Linked DNA regions of Stegostoma tigrinum. Each later gene encodes a partner of the first gene's protein in a complex. Links are inferred from orthologs where the notes say so. Each region holds a gene or a part of one and is shown on either strand. Other genes may lie near its edges.

Evidence for each region.
Region 2: timm21 (region 1) and timm23a share a complex: the UniProt entries of both Homo sapiens proteins name them as parts of the TIM23 complex. The link is inferred for Stegostoma tigrinum from reciprocal best matches to the Homo sapiens genes TIMM21 and TIMM23.
Region 3: timm21 (region 1) and timm17a share a complex: the UniProt entries of both Homo sapiens proteins name them as parts of the TIM23 complex. The link is inferred for Stegostoma tigrinum from reciprocal best matches to the Homo sapiens genes TIMM21 and TIMM17A.

Annotation. Positions count from the first base shown.
Region 1 is NC_081358.1:59,525,428-59,533,231, forward strand, and holds the start of timm21 (mitochondrial import inner membrane translocase subunit Tim21-like), read left to right. Parts: upstream 1-4,793; 5' UTR 4,794-4,892; coding exon 4,893-5,202; intron 5,203-7,804. UniProt on the Homo sapiens protein: Participates in the translocation of transit peptide-containing proteins across the mitochondrial inner membrane.
Region 2 is NC_081390.1:6,218,505-6,226,044, forward strand, and holds the start of timm23a (mitochondrial import inner membrane translocase subunit Tim23), read left to right. Parts: upstream 1-4,519; 5' UTR 4,520-4,637; coding exon 4,638-4,755; intron 4,756-6,855; coding exon 6,856-6,914; intron 6,915-7,540. UniProt on the Homo sapiens protein: Essential component of the TIM23 complex, a complex that mediates the translocation of transit peptide-containing proteins across the mitochondrial inner membrane.
Region 3 is NC_081374.1:27,524,135-27,531,348, reverse strand, and holds the start of timm17a (mitochondrial import inner membrane translocase subunit Tim17-A), read left to right. Parts: upstream 1-4,193; 5' UTR 4,194-4,236; coding exon 4,237-4,262; intron 4,263-7,211; coding exon 7,212-7,214. UniProt on the Homo sapiens protein: Essential component of the TIM23 complex, a complex that mediates the translocation of transit peptide-containing proteins across the mitochondrial inner membrane.

The DNA of each region.
Region 1 (7,804 bases):
CTCCATCCCGTGGAAAAAGCCTCATATTTTCCATTCTATCCATGCTATTCACAATCTTATAAACCTCTCTTAGGTCGCCCCGCAACCCTCCTGCGTTCCAGCAAAAACAAACCCAGTATAGTCAGCCTTTCTTAATTAAAATTACACCAAACTAGGCAACATCCTGGTAAACCTTTTCTGTGCCCTCTCCAAACATCCACATTCATCTGGTAGTGTGGTGACCAGAACTGTTCACAATATTCCAAGTGTGGTCCGACTAAAGTTCTGTAAAGTTGCAGCGTAACCTGTCTGTCCTTATACTTAAAACCCCTTCCAATAAAGGCAAGAATGCCAAAGCCTTTTTTACGACCTTATCAACCTGTACCGCCACCTTCAGTGATCTGTGGACCTGCAGATCTGTCTGCAATTCAATACTCCTAGGGGTTGTGCTATTCACTGTATAATTTCCACCTATACTTGACCTTCCAAAATGTATCACCTCACATTTGTCCAGATTAAAGTCCAGCTGCCATTTTTCTGCCCATGCCTCCAACTTATCTATATTCTACTGTATCCTCTGACAGTCCTCATTGTCCACAAATCTACCAATCTATGTATCATCCGCAAACCTACAAATTGGACCAGCCACGTTTTCCTCCAAATCATTTTGGGGCAGCATGGTGCCACAGTAGGTAGCACTGCTGTCTCACAGTGCCACAGTTCCAAGTTTGATTCCAGCCTTGGGTGACTGTCTGTGTGGAGTTTGCATATTCTCCCAGTGTCTGCATGGGTTTCCTCCGGATACTCTGGTTTCCTCCCACAGTCCAAAGATGTGCAGGTTAGGTGGTTTGGCCATGCGATATTGCCCGTAGTGTTCAGGGAAGTGTAGATTAGGTGGATTATAGGGTAATGGGTCTGGGTGGGATGCTCTGAGGTTTGGTGTGGATTTGTTGGGCCAAAGGGCCTGTTTTCACACTGTAGGGATTCTATGATTTTGGTCAATCTCAAACAGAAGAGGTCCCAGCACTGATACTGCACAACCCTCCATTCCAAAAAGCATCCTTCCACTGCTACCCTGTGTTTCCTATGACTAAGCCAATTCTGTATCAGTCTTACCAGTTCACCCTGATACGGTGTAACATTTTTTTTTTAAACCTTATCAAAGGCTTTGCTGAAGTCCATGTAGACAACATCAACAGCTTTTCCTTCATCAGAGATAATGTGAACTGCAGATGCTGGAGAATCCAAGATAACAAAGTGTGAAGCTGGATGAACACAGCAGGCCAAGCAGCATCTCAGGAGCACAAAAGCTGACGTTTCGGGCCTAGACCCTTCATCAGAGAGGGGGATGGGGAGAGGGTTCTGAAATAAATAGGGAGAGATGGGAAAGCGGACTGAAGATGAATAGAGGAGAAGATAGGCGGAGAGGAGAGTATAGGTGGGGAGAGGATAGGTCAGTCCAGGAGGACAGACAGGTCAAGGAGGCGGGAAGAGGTTGGTAGGTGGGAAATGGAGGTGCGGCTTGAAGTGGGAGGACGGGATAGGTGAGAGGAGGAACAGGTTAGGGAGGCGGGGACGAGCTGGGTTGGTTTTGTGATGCAGTGGGGGGAGGGAATGAGCTGGGCTGGTTTTGGGATGCAGTGGGGGAGGGGGAGATTTCGAAGCTTGTGAAGTCCACATTGATACCATTGGGCTGCAGGGTTCCCAAGCGGAATATGAGTTGCTGTTCCTGCAACCTTCGGGTGGCATCATTGTGGCACTGCAGGAGGCCCATGATAGACATGTCGTCTAAGGAATGGGAGGGGGAGTTAAAATCGTTCACGACTGGGAGGTGCAGTTGTTTATATTGTGAACCGAGCAGAGGTGTTCTGCAAAGCGGTCCCCAAGCTTCCGCTTGGTTTCCCCAATGTAGAGGAAGCCACACTGGGTATAATGGATACAGTATATACTACATTAGCAGATGTGCAGGCTTCCTAAACAACCACAGGAAGTGCTACACTTGCCCCCAGACCTCCTCCCTCACCCCCACCCCAGGCCCCAAGATGACTTTCCTTATTACATCTGCTTAATAAGGAAAGTCATCTTGGGGCCTGGGGTGGGGGTGAGGGAGGAGGTCTGGGGGCAAGTGTAGCACTTCCTGTGGTTGTTTAGGAAGGTGCCGGTTGTGGTGGGGTTGGAGGGGAGTGTGGAGCGGACAAGGGAGTCACGGAGAGAGTGGTCTCTCTGGAAGGCAGACAAGGGTGGGGATGGAAAAATGTCTTGGGTGGTGGGGTCAGATTGTAGATGGCAGAAGTGTTGGAGGATGATGCGTTGTATCCGGAGGTTGGTGGGGTGGTATGTGAGGTCGCGGGGGATTCTCTTAGGGCGATTATGGCGGGGGCGGGGTGTGAGGGATGTGTTGCGGGAGACACGGTCAAGGGTGTTCTCGACCACTGCAGGGGGGACATTGTGGTCCTTGAAGAATGCTGCCATCTGGGATGTGCGGGAGTGGAATGCCTCATCCTGGGAGCAGATGCGGCGGAGGCGAAGGAATTGGGAATAGGGTGCTGGAATTTTTGCAGGGGGGTGGGTGGGAGGATGTGTATTCTAGGTAGCTGTGGGAGTCGGTGGGCTTGAAGTGGACATCAGTTTCTAGCTGGTTGCCTGAGATGGAGGCAGAGGGGTCCCGGAAGGTGAGGGATGTTTTGGCCAAAGATATCTGTCAGTGCTCCAGCAATTTGTTCTCTTGCCTCTCTCAATATTCTAGGATAGATCCCATCAGGACCCAGGGACTTATCTACCTGAATACTTTTTAAGACGCACAACACCTCTCTCTTTTTAATAGCAACTTTGTTTAGAAACTCAACACTGCCTTCCCTGAGATTATCCTGAACCAATTCTTTCTCTTTGGTGAATACTGACACAAAGTATTCATTTAGGTCCTCATCTACTTCTTCAGGCTTCACAGATAGATTCTCTCCCTTGTCCTTGAGTGGGCCAAACCTTTCCCTGGGTACCTTGTTGCTTTCATAGATGTATGAAAAATTTTGGGATTCTCCTTAATCCTGTTTGCTAACAACTTTTCATGACCCCTTTTAGCCCTTATAATTCCTTATTTAAGTTCTCTACTACTTTTCATATGTACTTCAAGGGCTTCATGAGTGCCCATCCACCTAGATCATACGTATGCTTCCTTTTTCTTTCTGACCAAGATAATAACATCCCTGGTCATCCAAGGTTCACATAACTTTCTTTATTCTTTCAGGAAATGAGGGCATCGCTGGCTTGGCAGTATTTATTGCCCAGAGAGCAGTTAAGAGCCAACCACACTGCTGTGAATCTGGAGTCACATAGGCCAGACCAGGTGAGGATGGCAGATTTCCTTCCCTGAAAGACATCAGTGAACTAGATGGAATTTCCCTAACAATCAACAATGGATTCAGTCATCATGAGATGTTTAATTCCAGATATTTATTGAATTCAAGGTCCCCTGAACGTTATCTGGGTCTCTGGATTAACAGTCCAGTGATAATACCACTAGGCCATTGCCTCCCCTATGGCCATTGCCATAGCTATATGTCATTCGCGCAGGAATGTGCTTCTCCTGAACTCTTATCAACTGCCATTTAAAATATTCCCAAATGTCGATGTAGATTTACCCTCAAACAGCTACCTCCAATCCAAATTCACCAGTTCCCGCCTAATACTGTTGTAGTTCGCCTTCCCCCAATTTAACACTATAAGACATAGGAACAGAAATTAGGCCATTCAGCCCATCTAGTCTGCTCAAACATTCAATCATGGCTGATAAGTTTCTCAACCCCATTCTCCCACTTCCTCCCCATAACTATTGATCCCCCCAACAGTCAAGAACCGATCTATCTCAGTCTTAAAGAAACTCAATGACCTGACCTCCACAGCCTTCTGAGGCAGTGCATTCCATAGATTCACCACTCTCTGGCTGAAGAAGTTTCTCGTTACCTCCATTCTAAAACCTCTTCCCTTTACTCTAAGGCTGTGCCCTCAGATCCTGGTCTCTCCTACTGATGGAAACATCGTCCCAACATCCACTCTGACCAGACTTTTCAGTATTCTGTAAGTTTCAATTAGATCCCCCTGCACCCTTCTAATCTCCGTCAAGTATAGACCCAGAGTCGTCAACCATTCCTTCAATATACTTTTCATTCTTTCACACGGGAAAGCTGTTATCCCCATCCACGAGTAACCTTTGGCCACCTGATGTGGAGGGAGAGGGGCAAATTAAAGGATCATTTGAGACCTGGGCCTGGTCCAAATGGCCATCAAAAGTCCAGACAGCACACTGTCAAGAGGGTTATTAGCTCAAATGCCTGTTTCTATCTAGAGGTAAGTATCTGTCATGATGAAAGGTCCACAAAAGGTCATATGGTCTATTCCTGCTCCCAGTTATTACTTCTTATTTACTGCCACCAAGTCCACACCACTAGATGTGTCCACAAGTGCAACTGAGATCTTCCACAACCACTGGAAGGGCAACAATTGATGGCCAATATTAGGAATTCCATGACGTTATTGCCTTGTATTTCTGTGCACTTTTACGAATTTGGTTTTGGATAGCAACATTGAACATCTAATTGGTGTGTATTATAATGAGTTGGGATTGCATTATGTTTAAGAAATTGGTCTGTGCCTTAGAAGGGTTAACGACTTGAAACAGACATCCTCTATTTCAGTAGCAGATATGTGCCCCGCTGCAACAACTGAAACAACCAATGAAAAAGGTAGGCGGAAATCGGGGGAAAGCAGTATGGATTTTGTAGTTTTTGTCGAATCGTGTTCTTGCAACCAATAAGCAGGCGGAACTACATGTCCCACCGATCTATTCAGACGCTGATCCAATGGAAGAATGACAGCGAGGTAGAAAGTATAGTTTCTACAATAGAAAAGAGAAACAAATGGCTAATGTTTACTTTTTGCGAGCGGTGTGCACACACAGAAGAAGGCTGGTGTTCCAGTACAAAACCCAATTCTCGCTACACTGTTCCGCACGACCCCAAATCTGTAACTCGTTTCGTGAGAGGCCTGGAATTGTAGGAGTCACTACTTGTCCGCTGCAAAAGCAGCACTCACTTTACTTCGTTAGCACGGTTCCCTGGCGGTGCATTTTCACAGAGACTAAATTGAGAAATCCAGCTCCGGGGAAGAAGCAAGAAAACAAAGTATCATTGAGAAAGAGTACCCCGCCCGCATCAACAACTCAGAAAGGTAAAATTGTTCCAAATTGTCCCTTCGAACTAACACCCTGTAATCTGAGTATTTAACACTGCTGTCCGAGATCAAGGTCTGTACAAAACTAAGTTATTCCACTTCCTTACCTTAGCCTCCACAGTTAGCTCAGAATTCAAAGTTAAAACCAATTAGAAGAGGAGTGCAATGAGTGATATCGGGAAAAAAAAGTCTGACATAGACGTACCAAAATTCAAAGAACTTGAATTTGTTTAGCACCTTCTTATTGTCAACTATCCCACAGTGTTCCAGGTGGTTCATTGGAGTTTACCAGACAAAGTAAAAAGTTGCCCATATGTTGGCAGCAACAGTGAGACAAATCCAGCCTGATCAGTTATAATTCTTGTCAGCCTAGCTTCAATCATCAGGTTAAAATGTGCTATTAAGTGACACTTGTACTGCAAAACGTGCTCATTTTGTGTTCCACTGGGGCCACTTGTTCCTGGACCTCATTGCAGCCTTGGCCCAAAAGTGGACGAAAGAGCTGAATTCCAGGATTGAAGGTGGAAGTGGCTGCTACTGACATAGATACAGCTGAAGTTGTGACACTGAGGAGCTATTAGAAAAAATGATGCCAATGGGAATCAGGGAGAAAACTCTTCACTAACTGGAGACTTATCAAGTACAGAGAAAGGAGATTGTTGGAAGCCAGTTATTTCAGCAGTAGGAGCTCTTCAGGTCAGTGAGAAAAATCCAACTATCTTCAGCAGCTCCATCCATTTTAGGGTCAGAATATTTGACAATTATTTTGTTTTCTGGTCCTCTCGCAATTATTCAAACAATGAAGTCATCTGTGCTTTCATGCAGTTAGTCAGGTAACATCCAAGTTTGGATTGAAAAGTGTCAAGAAAAAGTTGTGAACAGAAATGCCCATCCCCAAAAAATGGATCTAACAACATCCACTTCACATTCATTGGTATTTCCATCGACCTACCCCTCATGATCAATATCATGGGTGTAGAGTTTATCATTGACCAAAATGTGAGACCAACATAATGAATTCTGTAATTACAATACTATTTGAAGGTATGATGACTGTAGTGATTACACATTTTCTAATTTGTTAAATTCTATCCATCAAGCCAAAATCTAATGCACTGCACTCACCTTACTGTGATAGTACAGAGATAATGGGAACTGCAGATGCTGGAGATTCCAAGATAAGATTCCAAGATTCCAAGTCTAGGCCCGAAACGTCAGCTTTTGTGCTCCTGAGATGCTGCTTGGCCTGCTGTGTTCGTCCAGCCTCACATTTTATTATCTGTGATAGTACAGATCCCAGTTGTTACATTTTCACTGGGACTAAATTGAGAAATCCAGCTCCGGAGAAGGAACAAGACAACAAAGTATCCTTGAAAAAGTGTGCCCCATCCTCATCATGCTTGCATGCAGCTCCAACTACACTCCAGACTTTACACTATCCAGGGCAAGGAAGTCCAATTGATCAATTGCTCAGACACCACTTGAAATGTCATTCATACCAGCAGGGCTGCAGTAAGTGGTATCTACCAGGTTCTGTTCAGAAACTTACCAAGATGTCTTCAACAGCATTTTGAAAGCCTTCCATCTTTACCATCTGGAAGAACAAAGGTATCTGGCAGACAGGAACACTGCCAAGTTCCCCTTCTATGTCACACAAGGCTCTGACCTATTAGCCTATCCGTCATTGTCACTCGGTTAAAGTTTTTGAACTTATCTAACAACATTGTGAGCATACCAATGCTACGTGACCTGCAGCAGCTCAAAAAAGAAATTCCCCACAAGCAAGGGTGACTAGGTAATGGGCAATAAATGCTGGCCTTTCCAGTGATGTCCACAACCTGTGAATTTTTATTTTAGATGTGCGTGAAAGAACATCAATTACAGCCCTTGCTGCAGTAGATCAATGTGAGAACCTAGTTTTAAACTGCAAAGTGCTATTTACCACAATGAGATGGTTGACTAGTTATTCCTAATGAATTTACCTAATCCCTGAACAACATGCGCCATGGGGAGAAAGTTGGAAAAATCACGAGAGATGGCCAGCAAGTTGAGGACAAAGTTCCATTTTCCAACTAAGTGTTGAATGATGAGACAAGATTCTTGCGCTTGAGTGATGAGAGGCATTTTAGTGCATATCTCCCTATTAATTATTCTATCCTCAGTATGGTGAAGTTTCCCATTCTCCTGCCTAACAGACAAAAACTAGATGTTGACAAATTTCCTGATATAAAAGCCAGAGCCGTTCCCTGGTGAATCTATCTGGCCTCTTGCCCATCTAAACATTCATCTTTGACATCTTTGGACATGCTCCATAGGCAATGCACACTCCCACCCTGACTACAGATAGAGATCTGACGTTTACCAGCGTCAGTGTATCATCTGATCCATAGCATATTTCTGCACTTCAAGCCTGTGTTTTGGAGCATGCTGGCATACTTCATCTCAATGCTGTTGCCAAAACACTCTGCGCACAAAGGGGCACCCAAGTCACAGATTGGATCAGGCTCATCAAAGGGCAATTTGCTAGCTCTCTTGGGTTAACTTGCATTGCGCTTACTTAAATGCTCGTGGAATCTCTGCCTTGCCTTAATTTTAACGC
Region 2 (7,540 bases), on another chromosome or scaffold:
TCAGTATCCAGAGATAGTTCTGAGGAAGTGTCACCGGGCCCGAAATGTTAACTCAGTTTTCGCCTCCACAGATGCTGCCAGACCTGCTGAGCTTTTCCACCAACTTCATTTTAGTTCCAGAGATAGTGGATAGTAGGCAGATTCTGAAAAGAGTAGACACAGATGGTGAACAGATACAGTGTCCAGCAGGCAGTGCCCAGAGAGAGTAAACAGAGACATTGCCTGGCGGGTAGTGCCTGGAGACAGTGAACAGAGACAGTGCACAGCAGGCAGTGTCCGGGGACGATGAACAGAGACAGTGCCCAGCGGGCAGTGGCCAGAGACGGTGAACAGAGACAGTGTCCAGAGACGGTGAACAGTGACAGTGCCCAGCGGGCAGTGCCCAGAGATGGTGAACAGAGACAGTACCCAGCGGGCAGTGGCCAGAGACGGTGAACAGGGACAGTGCCTGGAGACGGTGAACACAGACAGTGCTCAGCGGGCAGTGCCCGGAGACGGTGAACAGAGACAGTGTCCAGCGGGCAGTGAACAGAGACGGTGAACAGAGACAGTGCCCTGCGGGCAGTGCCCAGAGACGGTGAACAGAGACAATACCCAGCGGGCAGTGTCCGGGGACGGAGAACAGAGACAGTGCGCAGCGGGCAGTGGCCAGAGACAGTGAACAGGGACAGTGCCCGGCGGGCAGTGTCCAGAGATGGTGAACAGAGACAGTGCCCGGGGGCAGTGAACAGAGTCAGTGAACAGAGACAGTGTCCAGCGGGCAGTACCCAGAGACAGTGAACAGAGACAGTGTCCAGCGGGCGGTGCCCAGAGATGGTGAAGAGAGACAGTGCCCAGAGACGGTGAACTGAGGCAGTGCCTGGCGGGCAGTGTCCAGAGACGGTGAACAGAAACAGTGACCAGTGGGCAGTGCCCAGAGATGGTGAACAGAGACAGTGCCCAGGGGCAGTGCCCCGAGACAGTGAACAGGGACAGTGCCCAGGGGGCAGTGCCCAGAGACAGTGAACAGAGATAGTGCCCAGGGGGTGGTGCCCGGAGACAGTGAACAGAGTCAGTGCCCAGGGGGTGGTGCCCGAAGACAGTGAACAGGGACAGTGCCCAGGGGGCAGTGCCCGGAGACGGTGAACAGAGACAGTGCCCAGGGGCAGTGCCCCGAGACAGTGAACAGGGACAGTGCCCAGGGGGCAGTGCCCAGAGACGGTGAACAGAGGCAGTGCCCAGGGGGCAGTGCCCAGAGACGGTGAACAGAGGCAGTGCCCAGGGGGTGGTGCCCGAAGACAGTGAACAGAGTCAGTGCCCAGCGGGCAGTGCCCAGAGACGGTGAACTGAGGCAGTGCCCAGAGACGGTGAACTGAGGCAGTGCCCAGGGATGCTGAGCAGAGGCAGTACCCGGAGACGGTGAACAGACACAGTGCGCAGCGGGCAGTGCCCGGAGATGGTGAACAGAGACAGTGCCCAGCGGGCGGTGCCCAGAGACGGTGAAGAGAGACAGTGTCCAGAAACGCTGAACAGAGGCAGTGCCCAGAGACAGTGCCCAGTGGGCAGTGCCCAGAGATGATGAACAGGGTCAGTACCCCGTGGGCAGTGGCCGGAGACGGTAAACAGGGACAGTACCCAGCGGGCAGTGTCCAGAGATGGTGAACAGAGACAGTGCCCAGGGGCAGTGCCCCGAGACAGTGAACAGGGACAGTGCGCAGGGGGCAGTGCCTGGAGACAGTGAACAGAGATAGTGCCCAGGGGGTGGTGCCCGGAGACAGTGAACAGAGTCAGTGCCCAGGGGGCAGTGCCCAGAGACGGTGAACAGAGACAGTGTCCAGAGACGGTGAACAGAGACAGTGTCCAGCGGGCAGTGCCCAGAGACGGTGAACAGGGACAGTGCCTGGAGACGGTGAACAGAGACAGTGCCTGGCAGGCAGTGCCCAGAGATGATGAACAGGGTCAGTACCCCGTGGGCAGTGGCCGGAGACGGTAAACAGGGACAGTACCCAGCGGGCAGTGCCTGGAGATGGTGAACAGAGACAGTACCCAGCGGGCAGTGTCCAGAGATGGTGAACAGAGACAGTGCCCGGGGGCAGTGCCTGGAGACAGTGAACAGAGATAGTGCCCAGGGGGTGGTGCCCGGAGACAGTGAACAGAGTCAGTGCCCAGGGGGCAGTGCCCAGAGACGGTGAACAGAGACAGTGTCCAGAGACGGTGAACAGTGACAGTGTCCAGCAGGCGGTGCCCAGAGATGGTGAACAGAGGCAGTGCCCAGAGACGGCGAACAGAGACAGTGACCAGTGGGCAGTGTCCAGAAACTTCATCCAGCAGCAGTGTCCAGAGACAGTGCCCAGCGGGCAGTGTCCGGAGACAGTGAACAGAGACAGTGCCCAACGGGCAGTGCCCAGAGACGGTGAACAGGGACAGTGCCCAGAGACGGCGAACAGAGACAGTGACCAGTGGGCAGTATCCAGAAACTTCATCCAGCAGCAGTGTCCAGAGACAGTGCTCAGCGGGCAGTGTCCAGAGTCGGTGAACAGAGACAGTACCCAGCGGGTAGTGCTCGGAGATGGTGAACAGGGACAGTGCCCAGCAGGCAGTGTCCAGAGACAGTGAACAGAGAAAGTGCCCAGCGGGCAGTGCCCAGAGACGGTGAAGAGAGGAGTGCCGAGCGGGCAGTGGCCGGAGACGGTGAACAGAGACAGTGACCAGTGGGCAGTGTCCAGAGACTTCATCCAGCAGCAGTGTCCAGAGACAGTGCCCAGCGGGCAGTGTCCGGAGACAGTGAACAGAGACAGTGCCCAGCGGGCAGTGCCCAGAGACAGTGAACAGGGACAGTGCCTGGAGACGGTGAACAGGGACAGTGCCGAGCGGGCAGTATCCGGAGATGATGAACAGAGACATTGCCCAGCAGGCAGTGTCCAGAGACGGTGAACAGAGACAGTGTCCAGCAGGCAGTGCCCGGAGGCGGTGAACAGAAACAGTGACCAGTGGGCAGTGCCCAGAGATGGTGAACAGAGATAGTGTCCAGGGGGTGGTGCCCGGAGACAGTGAACAGAGTCAGTGCCCAGGGGGCAGTGCCCAGAGATGGTGAACAGAGACAGTGCCCAGAGACGGTGAACAGAGACAGTACCCAGCGGGCAGTGTCCGGAGATGGTGAACAGAGACAGTGCCCAGGGGCAGTGCCCCGAGACAGTGAACAGGGACAGTGCCCAGGGGGCAGTGCCCAAAGACAGTGAACAGAGATAGTGCCCAGGGGGTGGTGCCCGGAGACAGTGAACAGAGTCAGTGCCCAGTGGGTGGTGCCCGAAGACAGTGAACAGAGTCGGTGCCCAGAGACGGTGAACAGAGGCAGTGCCCGGAGACGGTGAACAGACACAATGCCCAGTGGGCAGTGCCCTGAGACAGTGAACAGAGACAGTGCCCAGAGATGGTGAACTGTGGCAGTGCCCAGAGATGCTGAGCAGAGGCAGTACCCGGAGACGGTGAACAGACACAGTGCCCAGTGGGCAGTGCCTGGAGACAGTAAAGAGGGACAGTGCGCAGCGGGCAGTGCCCGGAGACGGTGAACAGAGACAGTGTCCAGAGACGGTGAACAGAGACAGTGCCCAGCAGGCGGTGCCCAGAGACGGTGAACAGAGGTAGTGCCCAGAGACAATGAACAGAGGCAGTGCCCAGAGACAGTGAACAGAGACAGTGCCCAGTGGGCAGTGCCCAGAGTTGATGAACAGGGTCAGTACCCCATGGGCAGTGGCCGGAGACAGTAAACAGTGACAGTACACAGCGGGCAGTGCCTGGAGATGGTGAACAGAGACAATATCCAGCGGGCAGTGTCCAGAGATGGTGAACAGAGACAGTGCCCAGGGGCAGTGCCCCGAGACAGTGAACAGGGACAGTGCCCAGGGGGCAGTGCCTGGAGACAGTGAACAGAGATAGTGCCCAGGGGGTGGTGCCCGGAGACAGTGAACAGAGTCAGTGCCCAGGGGGCAGTGCCCAGAGACGGTGAACAGTGACAGTGTCCAGAGACGGTGAACAGTGACAGTGTCCAGAGACGGTGAACAGTGACAGTGTCCAGCAGGCGGTGTCCAGTGACAGTGTCCAGAGACGGTGAACAGAAACAGTGACCAGCAGGCAGTGCCCAGAGATGATGAACAGGGTCAGTACCCCGTGGGCAGTGGCCGGAGACGGTAAACAGGGACAGTACCCAGGGGGTGGTGCCTGGAGACAGTCAACAGAGTCAGTGTCCAGAGACGGTGACCAGGGTCAGTGCCCAGGGGGCAGTGCCCATCTTCACTCGGCTGGTTTTGGGAATTTTGCCCCTGACCGGAATGGGTTTGTCATAGTACAAGTCTGAAATCTAGGATGAAGTTCTCTGACGACCGAAAGAGAATGAACAGGAATGACAAGCACCTTTGTCCCTTTTTTTTGAGGGTAAATTATAAACGTCGCTCCCAAGCACCACGTGACCCGTGTCCTCATCATCATGGCGGCAGCAACGTGACCAGCACGTGATGAAGGAACCGGGCCGTAAAGTGAGGAGGTCATACTACTGTAAAGTGTCGCGCGGTCGCTATGGTTTCCCGTGGTCGGTGAGTCTGGAATCGGTCGAGGTGACGGACGGATCGTTTTTAAATTCGATCCCCCTCAGAAGGACGGAAATGGACAACTCGGGGACTGGGGGAGGCTTACGGGCTGGGTTCGGCCTTTTCAGCGGCGGCGGTGGCGCTGGCTCCTCGGTGCCAGATTATTCTCAGCCCGACCTTTCCCGTGTTCCCTGTGAGTAAGAGAGCGAAGCCTGGGACAGTAGGCCGCATCTTCACTAGTGTCAGCGCCTGGTTTAGCCTAACTCTGGCCGAATGCTCTTAGTTCGTATAACCAACCCCTCGTACAGTTTTCTCAGGGTCTATGGTAGATTGTAATGGGGAAAGCTGGGAGCTGTATTTGGATTTGATAAAGTACCACGAGTTGTTATTACGCAACATGAGGATTTAATAACCACACTCTGGGATTTTCATTTGATGTCCCTGTTAAGGTTCAAGTCCTCCCGTTTCTCATCCCTTGTCCTTTTTTAAAAACCAAATATAACCTGTACCTAGGCAGGAGAAAATCTGAGTGAAATGTCATGCTTCTAGCTATTCCAGTTGCATCGTGTTGTGTGTAGTCGAACCCAGCTCTTCCTGATGTCTCCAAGACCGTTGCCATGACCATATTTTGGGGCTGATGATACCCTTTAAATGATCGGTGGAATAACGTACCTCTCCCCGTTTCTCTTCCCCCCCCCCCCCCCGCTCCGCTTCGCTTCGACGTACACCGGGAGATGTCAGCACACGGACCTCCTAACTTGAACTGTCCGGTGCCCCCACACCTGCTGTTGGCTAGCCAGAATGCCAGTGATCATGGATCCCCGCTTTCCCACGGCCCTTCAGTCTTTTTGAAATTTTCTCATCTACCTGTTCAGAGATGTTATTGCACATCTCTGGAGTAGACCGGACTTGAATCTGGTTAGAGACAAAAGAAAAATTGCAGATGCTGGAATCCAAGTTAAACAAACAGGAGACTGGAAGAACACAGCAAGCCAGGCAGCATCTGAAGGAAAGGAGAATTTAATGTTTCAGGTATTACCGTTCTTTTGAAGAAGGATAAATACCTGAAACGTTGACATGAATCTGGGCCTCATTGGTAAATGTGATTGGACTCAGTTGGGTGTTGCATTTACATTTACATGGATTCAGAATTAGTCAGCAGAAGAACAGTTAACCTTCCGAAGGGCATTCCTGCAACTGAACCAGCTGCCAAAAGAAATAATCTCAATCCTGCCATTGGAAATCAAGTCCCATTTTTAGATTATTTCTGTTTAAAAGTTTTCATTATAGCAGCACCATCTCAGCAGGTAGAACCACCCATTAAAATGGCATAAATTATTAGAAAATATTATTGGAATATTAACATTAAACTGATGCTGATGCAACTAAAGCAGAGTATGCAGGAAGAGAATAAGACTACCACCAGATGTCTTGAATACTTCGCAGCCAATTAAATAGTTTTGAACTGTAGGAAGTTATAATGTGGGAAAAGTGACATCTGTGTGCACATTCTTGTAATCAAAAGCATGATAACCAAAAATCCTCCTTTTAGTATTATGTTAATTGTGGGATAAGTATCGACCAAGTCGCTAGTGGTAACCTCCAATCAATCGTTTTCCAGCCACCTTCAATTTTGAAGAGTTAAATTGGATTGAACGTGTTAGCTGTGTTCCTGTCTCCACAGATGCTGCCAAACCTGCAGAGTTTCTCCTGCAATTTCTGTTTTAATTTCAGATTTCCAACATTTAGTATTTTTGCTTCATCCATACTGGATACCTCCATACATTGAACCCCTGTTTTGGTCCCAAATTAAATTTACACTTCCTTTTTAATCTTTTAAGCCTGTAAAAGCTTTTCGATTCCTCTTTACCTTCATGTGAGTCTTTCCCTTCTCTCGCCATCTTCAGCGAGAGAATCTAGACAATCACATTAATATTCAGTTGCAACATCCTGAGTCATTGACCAGAAATTTAGCTGAACCAGCCATGTAAATGTGCAAAAATGATGCTGCTTGGCCTGCTGTGTTCATCCAGCCTCACATTTTATTATCTTGGAATTCTCCAGCATCTGCAGTTCCCATTATCTATGTAAATGTGCAAGATTGGTTCTAAACTGTGACACTACTGCCGGTTCCTAACTTCCCTTTGCGTAAATATCTGTTGTTGACGGTCTGACTAAAGTGGGAATGTGGGTAACTGGGAAAGAAAAAAAACTAATATGTAGAGTGGTACTGTAAGATACAAAAATGACAAGGGATATTATTGGAGCTAACCTTTACCTTTGCCGTTTTCAGTAACTGGAATGAGCCCTTTGTCTCCATATCTGAACCTTGATCCTCGATATTTGATCCAAGTAAGTAGAAAATATTTTTCCATTTGAAGTATTCTGGGCTCCATGAACCTGTTTGAAAATCTTTCATGGGTGAAATAAAATACTTTCTGATGTTTTTAATGTAATGTGTCATTCTATACTATATAACCTAAAATGGTTCGCAAGTCTATGCTTCACTGTGGCATTTGGAACTGACTTTCAATGCCTTTTTAAGACTTGAATGTTATATGTCTGCGCTTTGCTAAGTGGACTTGTGTGGATACTTTATTAAAGCTTGCCCTCCTAGTGTGAAGGTAAAGTGGCTTTCTCTTTCTCCAATATTAAGCCTATAGGTTTGGGTGATTCAATAAGTGCAGGTAGGTTTAAACTGAGGGCTGTGTGAAGCTCCAGCAAACCAACTCTTAGAGGCCAGATAACTCAGTTCTGTTTCTGTCATTATTTCTTCTCTGAATCTGTGGTGGTTAGGGGAAAAGATTATTCAGAATGCTGTTCGTCATTAAGTCCTAATAACAATCAGTCAATCAATCTTGGCGTCGTGAGGTACATAAGGATTTATACATGGGATGGTATTTAAAGTTAACCCTAATCTTTGAATAAATATCTATGCGACTCATGAAAGCGTGAGATTGAACGATCTTAATTATTGC
Region 3 (7,214 bases), on another chromosome or scaffold:
CTTTGACAAAGGAATATAGCGTAATTCCAATTCAAGCAGCTGCTGTGTTATTTTCGAAGGCATTGAATCAGACCTCATCTGAAGTTTTTTTTTGGTCAGTTAATTTTAGAGAGGAATATTATAGAGTAATGCACAAAATATTATAGAATCCTTACAGTGCTGAAAGAGGCTATTCAGGTCATTGAGGCTTTACCAATCCTCCAAAGAACATTCCAAATAGACCTAACTGCCTACCCTAGCTACACATTCTCTATCATCCATATCCTTCTCCACTACAAACACTGATGCAAAATACTCATTTAATATCTCCCCCAGCTCCTGTGGTTCCACACATCGGTGGCTTTGATTATCTTTAAGAAGTCCTGTTCTCTTCCTCATTGCCCTTTTGTCTTTAACGTATTTGTAGAATCCCTTTGGACTCTCCTTATCCCTATGTGCCAAAGTGATCTTAGTCCCCTTTCTGCCCTCCTGATTCCCTCTTAAGTATACCGCTACTGCCTTTGCATTCTTTCAGGGAATCACTCAATTTCTGCTGTCTATACGTGACATACTCTTCCTTCTTAATCTTAACCAAAATCTCAATTTCTCTCATCACCTAGCATTCCCTACAGCTACCAGCCTTGATCTTCACCGTAACAAGAACATACTGTCTTTGGACTCTCATTATCTCATTTCTGAATGCTTTCCATTTTTCAGCCATTCCCTTAACTACGAACATCTGCCCCCATCAACTTTTGAAATTTCTTGCCTAATACTGTTGAAATTAACCTTCTTCCAATTTAAAACTTTAGCTTTTAGATCCGGTCCATTCTTTTCCATCACTATTGAAAACTAATAGAATTATGGCCACTGGCTCCAAAGTGCTCCCCCACTGACACCTCAGCCACCTGCACTGCTTTATTTCCCAAGAGTAGGTTAAGTTTTACCCTTTCTCTAGCAGGCACATCCACATGCTGAGTCAGAAAATTGTCTTCCACGCGCTTAAAAAATTCCTCTCCATCCAAGCCCTTAACACTATGGCAGACCTTGTCTAAGTTTGGAACGTTAAAATCCCCTCCCATATCACCCTGTTATTCTTACAGGTAACTGAGAACTCCTTACATGTTGTTTCTCAATTTCCCACTGACTATTGGTGGGGGTCTATAGTACTATTCCAATAAGGTGATCATCCCTTTTTAATTTCTGAGTTCTACCTAAATAACTCCCCAGATGTATTCCCAGGAACATGCTCCCTAAATACACTTAATCCTGTAATGTGATTCCTAATCAAAAATGCCACAGCCCCTTCCCTCTTGCCCCACTTTCAATCCATTGTGTAACAACTATACCCTGGAACATTAAGCTCTCAGTCCAGTCCACCCCTGAGCAACATCTCCATAATTGCTTTAATATCCCAATCCCAGTTCCTAACTATGCCCTATGTTTATCTGCTTTACTTGTTAGCCTTCTTGAATTGAAATAATTGCAATTTAATTTATTAGTCCTACCTGGTTCTCTACTTTGTTCCTGTCTGCCTTGTCTGTTTGACTTACTCTTTCTCCCAACTGTACCAGACTCAGGCTGATCACTTTCCTCTCTATGTCCCTGGTTCCTAACCACTACCCTTATTAATTTAAATCCTCCCCAGCAGCTGTAACAAATCTCCCTGCCAGTATATTAGTCTGCATCCAATTCAGGTGCAATCTGTCCTTCTTTTGCAGATCACTTCCACCCCAGAAGAAATTCCAACGATCCAAAATTGTGACTTTTTCTCCTCTGCACCAACTCCTCAGCCACACATTCATCTGTTCTTTCCTCCTATTTCTACCCTCACTACCTCATGGCACTGGGAGTAATCCAGATATTACTGCCTTTGAGGACCTACTTTATAAATTCCTGTCTAAGTTCCTACATTCTCTCCTCAGAATCTCATCCTTTTCTCTTCCAAAGTCATTAGTTCCAAACATGTACAATGAACTCCTGCTAGTCTGTCTCCCCTTTGAGAATATTTTGCATCCTCTCCAAGATATCTTTGATCCTGGCTCCAGGGAGGCAACACGCCATTCTGAGATAGTAGGATCTGCCAATGCTGGAGAATCTGAGATAACTATGTTTAGAGCTAGATGAACACAACAGGTTAAGCAGAATCAGAGGAGCAGGAAAGCTGATGTTTTGGGTCTGGACCCTTTTTCTGAAGAAGGGTCCAGACCTGACACGTCAGCTTTCCTGCTGGTCTGATGCTGGCTGGCCTGCTCTGTTCATCTAGCTCAACACCTTGTTAGCACACCATTCTGATGTATCACTGTTGCCGTGGAATCATCTGTCTCTGCCTCTGACTAGAGAGTTTTCCTGTTACAATCGATCGCTTGGAATGTGGCATACCCTTCATTCCATTTGAGTCAGTCTCAGTACAAGAAACCTGGTTGTCAGTGCCACATTCTCCTGAAAGTCCATCACTGCCTACATTTTCTAAAACAGCATATTTGTTTGAGGGGATAGCCACAGGAGACTCCTGCACTACCTGCCTCCCTCGCCTACCCTTTCTGGAGGTGACCTATTTACCCGACTGTATCCTCAGTTTACCTCCCTCCCCGAAACTGCCATCCATCACACCCCCTAGCTCTTATAAATTCCTCATTGCCTTTACCTGCCACTCCAACCAATCCATACGCTCCAATAAGATTCACAACCAAACATACTTTCTGCAGACATAATCATCAGTAACGTGGAAACTCTGGCTTATCTCACACATCCAATAGGAAGATCATATCACTCTACTAAAGGCCATCCTTGCACCTTAACAATCTACAGACCCAGAAAATAGTACAGTCTTGCTGCTTTAAAATCACGGCTCCAGGCTGGCTTCGTACCTATGTTTTTGTATTTTTAAAGTTTAATCAAGAGACAAATCTTGAAAACAACATATAATAAATAAAAGACATCCACTCTACTCACTATTGCAGATTTACAAAAGAAACACAGTAAGCTTACACTTTAAAAAGCCACTTAGCTGCTCCCCCACTGTGAGCTCCCACACAAATTTCTCCAGGGTCCGCTGTGAATTTCACTGTTTGTTTATTTTCTTTAATCTAAACATCTATGTTCAGAGATACTTGAAAAAAGACAGAAAAGGCAATAGCTACGCAGTTTACTGCTGGGTCAGACAGTAGTGTAGGTTTCTTCCTCCATTTGAATCACTTCCCATATGGTCATTACCTTTGTCTGTCTTCCTTCTTATTAACGGGCCAAAGTTTCAAAACAATGCAACAGTTTATAAAACAGTAATTACTACTCCACTCTTTTGACTGTGGGAAGAAACCAAAGCACCCAAAGGAAACCCACACAGACACAGAGTGAATGTAACAAATTCCACACAGACAGTTGCTCGAGATTGTAATTGAACCTGATGCTGTGAGGCTAGCAACTCTTGGGAATGAACGTGCTGGTCATGCTAGATCTCCATTTTGAACTACACAAGTTGGACAGTATTTGTCATTCAGAAACAAACAAAAACAGAACATGTTGGAGAAACTCAGCAAGTCTGGCAAGCATCTGTGGAGAGAAATCAGAGCCAATGCTTCCGGTTCAGTGTCCTGAAAAAGGGTCAAAAACAAAGTTGTTGGAAAAGCTCAGCAGGTCTGGCAGCATCTGTGGAGGGAAAAAAAATTAACATTTCGGGTCCGGTGACCCATCCTCAGAACCGGACCCGAAACGTTAACTCTTTTTTTTCTCCTCCACAGATGCTGCCAGACCTGCTGAGCTTTTCCAACAACTTTGCTTTTGTTCCTTATTTACAGCATCCGCAGTTCTTTTGTTTCTTATTTCCTGAAAGAGGGTGACTGGGCGCAAACTTTCAACACTGCTTTCTCTTCAATACATGCTACCAGATCTGCCCAGTTTCGCTAGCAATTTCTGATTCAGTTTCAAATTTCCAGCATCATTCAGAAGTCTTGTTGGAAAGAGTTGGTTCAGATCTCAGAAGCTTGCTGCTATTTAAAAAAGCCTTCAGACTTTAATAATTCCTAACAATATATATTATATATAAAACGGCCGTCTTTCAACTTTTCAAAATCTAGCCTTTGGTTTCAAAAACTAATTAAGAGGAGCCGCTAATGCTCGAACTGGCAATACCATTAACGCTCACACTCCAAGCATGAGCATGAATCAGGAAGCATCACCTCCAATCGATACTTTTCTACACATGCGCCCTTTGCAGCGCGTGCGCGTAGTGGCTGCGGTCGTACGTCACAGAGGAAGATGGAGGAATATGCACGCGAGCCCTGGTGAGGTGGTCTTTTGAGAGAGTGAAAAGAATCCCTTAATCAGGCTCAGGGTTATGCGAGATGCCGGGCGGGTGCCCAGAGGAGAGGGGAACGTTGGCACCGGGAATCTAGAAACTTCTATGACCGTTACCCGCTCACCACCCGTCCAGCGGCGTCTGTGACCTTCCTGAAGGAATGTGTCCCCGAGATGGGGAGTGTCCAGGCCTATGGGCCGTCAGGAGGAGAAGAGAGATTTTTTTTTTGTTGGGTGGAGGGGGGGGGGTGGTAGTGGCATTGTTAGTTTTCGGGACTTTATTGGGGCCTGAGGGGATGTTGTAAAGGTTTTAAGCTTTAAAGGAAGGTGAACTGGGGGGATGGCCTGACACTGGAGGAGAAAGTCCTGAGGCCTGTGCCCTGGTCTGTGGAGGCAGATATATTTAAAGAGTCCCGATTCTGTTGGAGTTTGTGAGGGCCTGCACAAGAGTCTCATACCTCTACGGAGGTAAGAACCGTGTGTGTGCGCTGAGGAAGGGGGAGCTGGTGGTGGTGCGGTCAGTAGGAATGCAGCCACTGTCAAGTCTTTACTCTATGAAAGCAAAATACTGAAATAATGTCAATCTGAAATAAAAGCAGAAAGTGCTGGAGAAATGCACCAGTTCTGACAGCATTTGTGCGGAGAGAAAAACAGACTTGATGTTTCCACTCTGACAGGACTCTTCAGAACTGGGTTCTTTGGAGTAATGTATTTATTGGCTACTCAGGCTCCTTCCTTTTGCTGTGCTTCTTTAGACTGATCGTTAGACATGAATTAGGTGACTGTGGAAACAAAAGGGTTTTTTGGATGGTGGGGTAGTTTCATGCAGTTTCTTTGTTTGCCTGGTTACAGCATACAATCTGGTCTCTGTCCAGAGAGCTTAACTTGTTTTTGTTTTGGACAGTGTTAGTCCTGCAGCATTTCAGTAGCCAGAGGTGTTTGAAAATTACTGGCAGAGCCTCTGACATCTCCCTTACTTCCCTCAACAAGCTCAGTGCATCTTATCTGGGCCTGCAGAGTTGACCACTTTTTTTACATTGTTGAATGCTATAGTAGTACTTCTCTCTATATGCAAAGCCCTTCTAATATATTACAGTCCTCCACCCTGGTATCTATACTAGCATTATCCGTTTCCATCGTGAAGACTACACGATGTTCAGGACTGTGTACATGCACGTGTACATGCACATGCACACGCACACGCCCATACCCATACCCATCTACCCACCATGGTTTGTAAGCATTCTTTTCATGTCTTAAAAAAACCCTTTGGGTTTCCCTTTATTTTGTCTGTCGGTATTTTCTCGCACACACTCTTTGCTGTCCTAATTCCCTCTTAAGATATCCCTGCACGTTTTATACTCCTCTGTTGGGGGCCTTTGTAGTTAAAGTTGTCATAACCCCAGAGGACCATAGGAATGCTGTTTTATTATAAAGAGATAACTGGTGGGGTTAACCTGAAGGTCACTGTGCCTTAGGCGTGGAACAAGTTGAGAAAGCAGAATCCTCTTGGTAACTTCAGTCAATGTCGTACTTGACCGTTGGTATCACTGCATTGCAACCAGCCAGCTGAGCTAACCAGGAGTGTTGAACTGCCAGTCCTCCTCATCTGTCAGCTAAGTCTCAGTCGTAGTTAGGATACCATACATCCACGTACGTATCAGTGCCTTCAGCTCATTTAGCTTATTTCTCGGGGTCCTTGCATTAAAATATATTCAGTTTACTTTTGATAAACTGACTTCTTTCTTATCTAGCCTCTTTTTCCTCTGTTTCAGTGTTATTTATTAACATTTTAACTTATCTCTGTTTCGCTTTCCCTCCAAACTACGACTTGGGACCCCTTACTCCTTTCAATTTAATTTAAACCTCCATAACGACATTCAGTGTAACACATCTAACTGGTATAGTTCCCACCCACCCCACAAGCAGTCCCAATGCCTCGGGAATCTAAAGCCCTCCCTCCTGCAGCACTTTGCCAGCCATACATTCATTTGCTTCATCCTTCTAGTCTTAGACTTACAACGCATGGCACCCTTAATATTTTTTGACATTTTACTTTTCTGTTCTCCAGACATACCTTAACTCAATAGAATATGAGCCTTGCTTTATTTTACCCATAGTCCTGGAAAATATCTTATTGTTATTCCATTTGGGTATACCTGCTTCTCCTGGTTTTGAATTTTGTGCACTGTTATTTTGTCAAAATTCCCATGCCATTTGCTCATTGCATTTGCCACCTGCATTTCAGAAGTAATTTCAATGTGAAATCCACCCATTAATACTGATGAATGATGTTAATTGTAAAGACTTTGTTTTGTATGTTTGCTTTCACAGGTTCTCGCTGTTTATGCCAAATTCCTGTAATCTGTGAAAATGAGTGTCCTTAATCTTTAAAAATTCCAGAACATCCTTTGTAATTGAGCAAATTTACTGAAAATTGTTCTGTAAAAATTGCTTTTTTTTGTTGTAATACCAGTAAACTTTGAGCCTATCATAGCTTGGAGTTCAAGGGAAGTTGGCTAAATTGTGGATTGAGAAAAATCATGCTGTTTAATGGACTGAAAAATTACTGTTGATGACATGTAAGGCAATAGCCAAAGATGTTCCACTACTTTAACCAGTAACAAAAGACATTTTAATTATTTTGACGTCTTTCTGATGGAAAAAGTTACTAGGAAAATTATGTTAACAATTTGCAGTAACATTGTGAGTAAACTTTATGGAAAATTTCTTAAAAATACAGCACAGGACGTTGCGGTTATGTTGAACCGAACAGAGGGCAGGATTATGGATTTCTGCATAACTATCATTAGAGCAGCCATGAAATTGGTTAGTAGAAGGAAATGGTGAACTTGCTTTTGGCTTTTCTCCTTAGTTGAACATCTAATATGGCAAGTTATAATGTATATCAACTAAGTAATGTTTCTTTTCATTAGCCC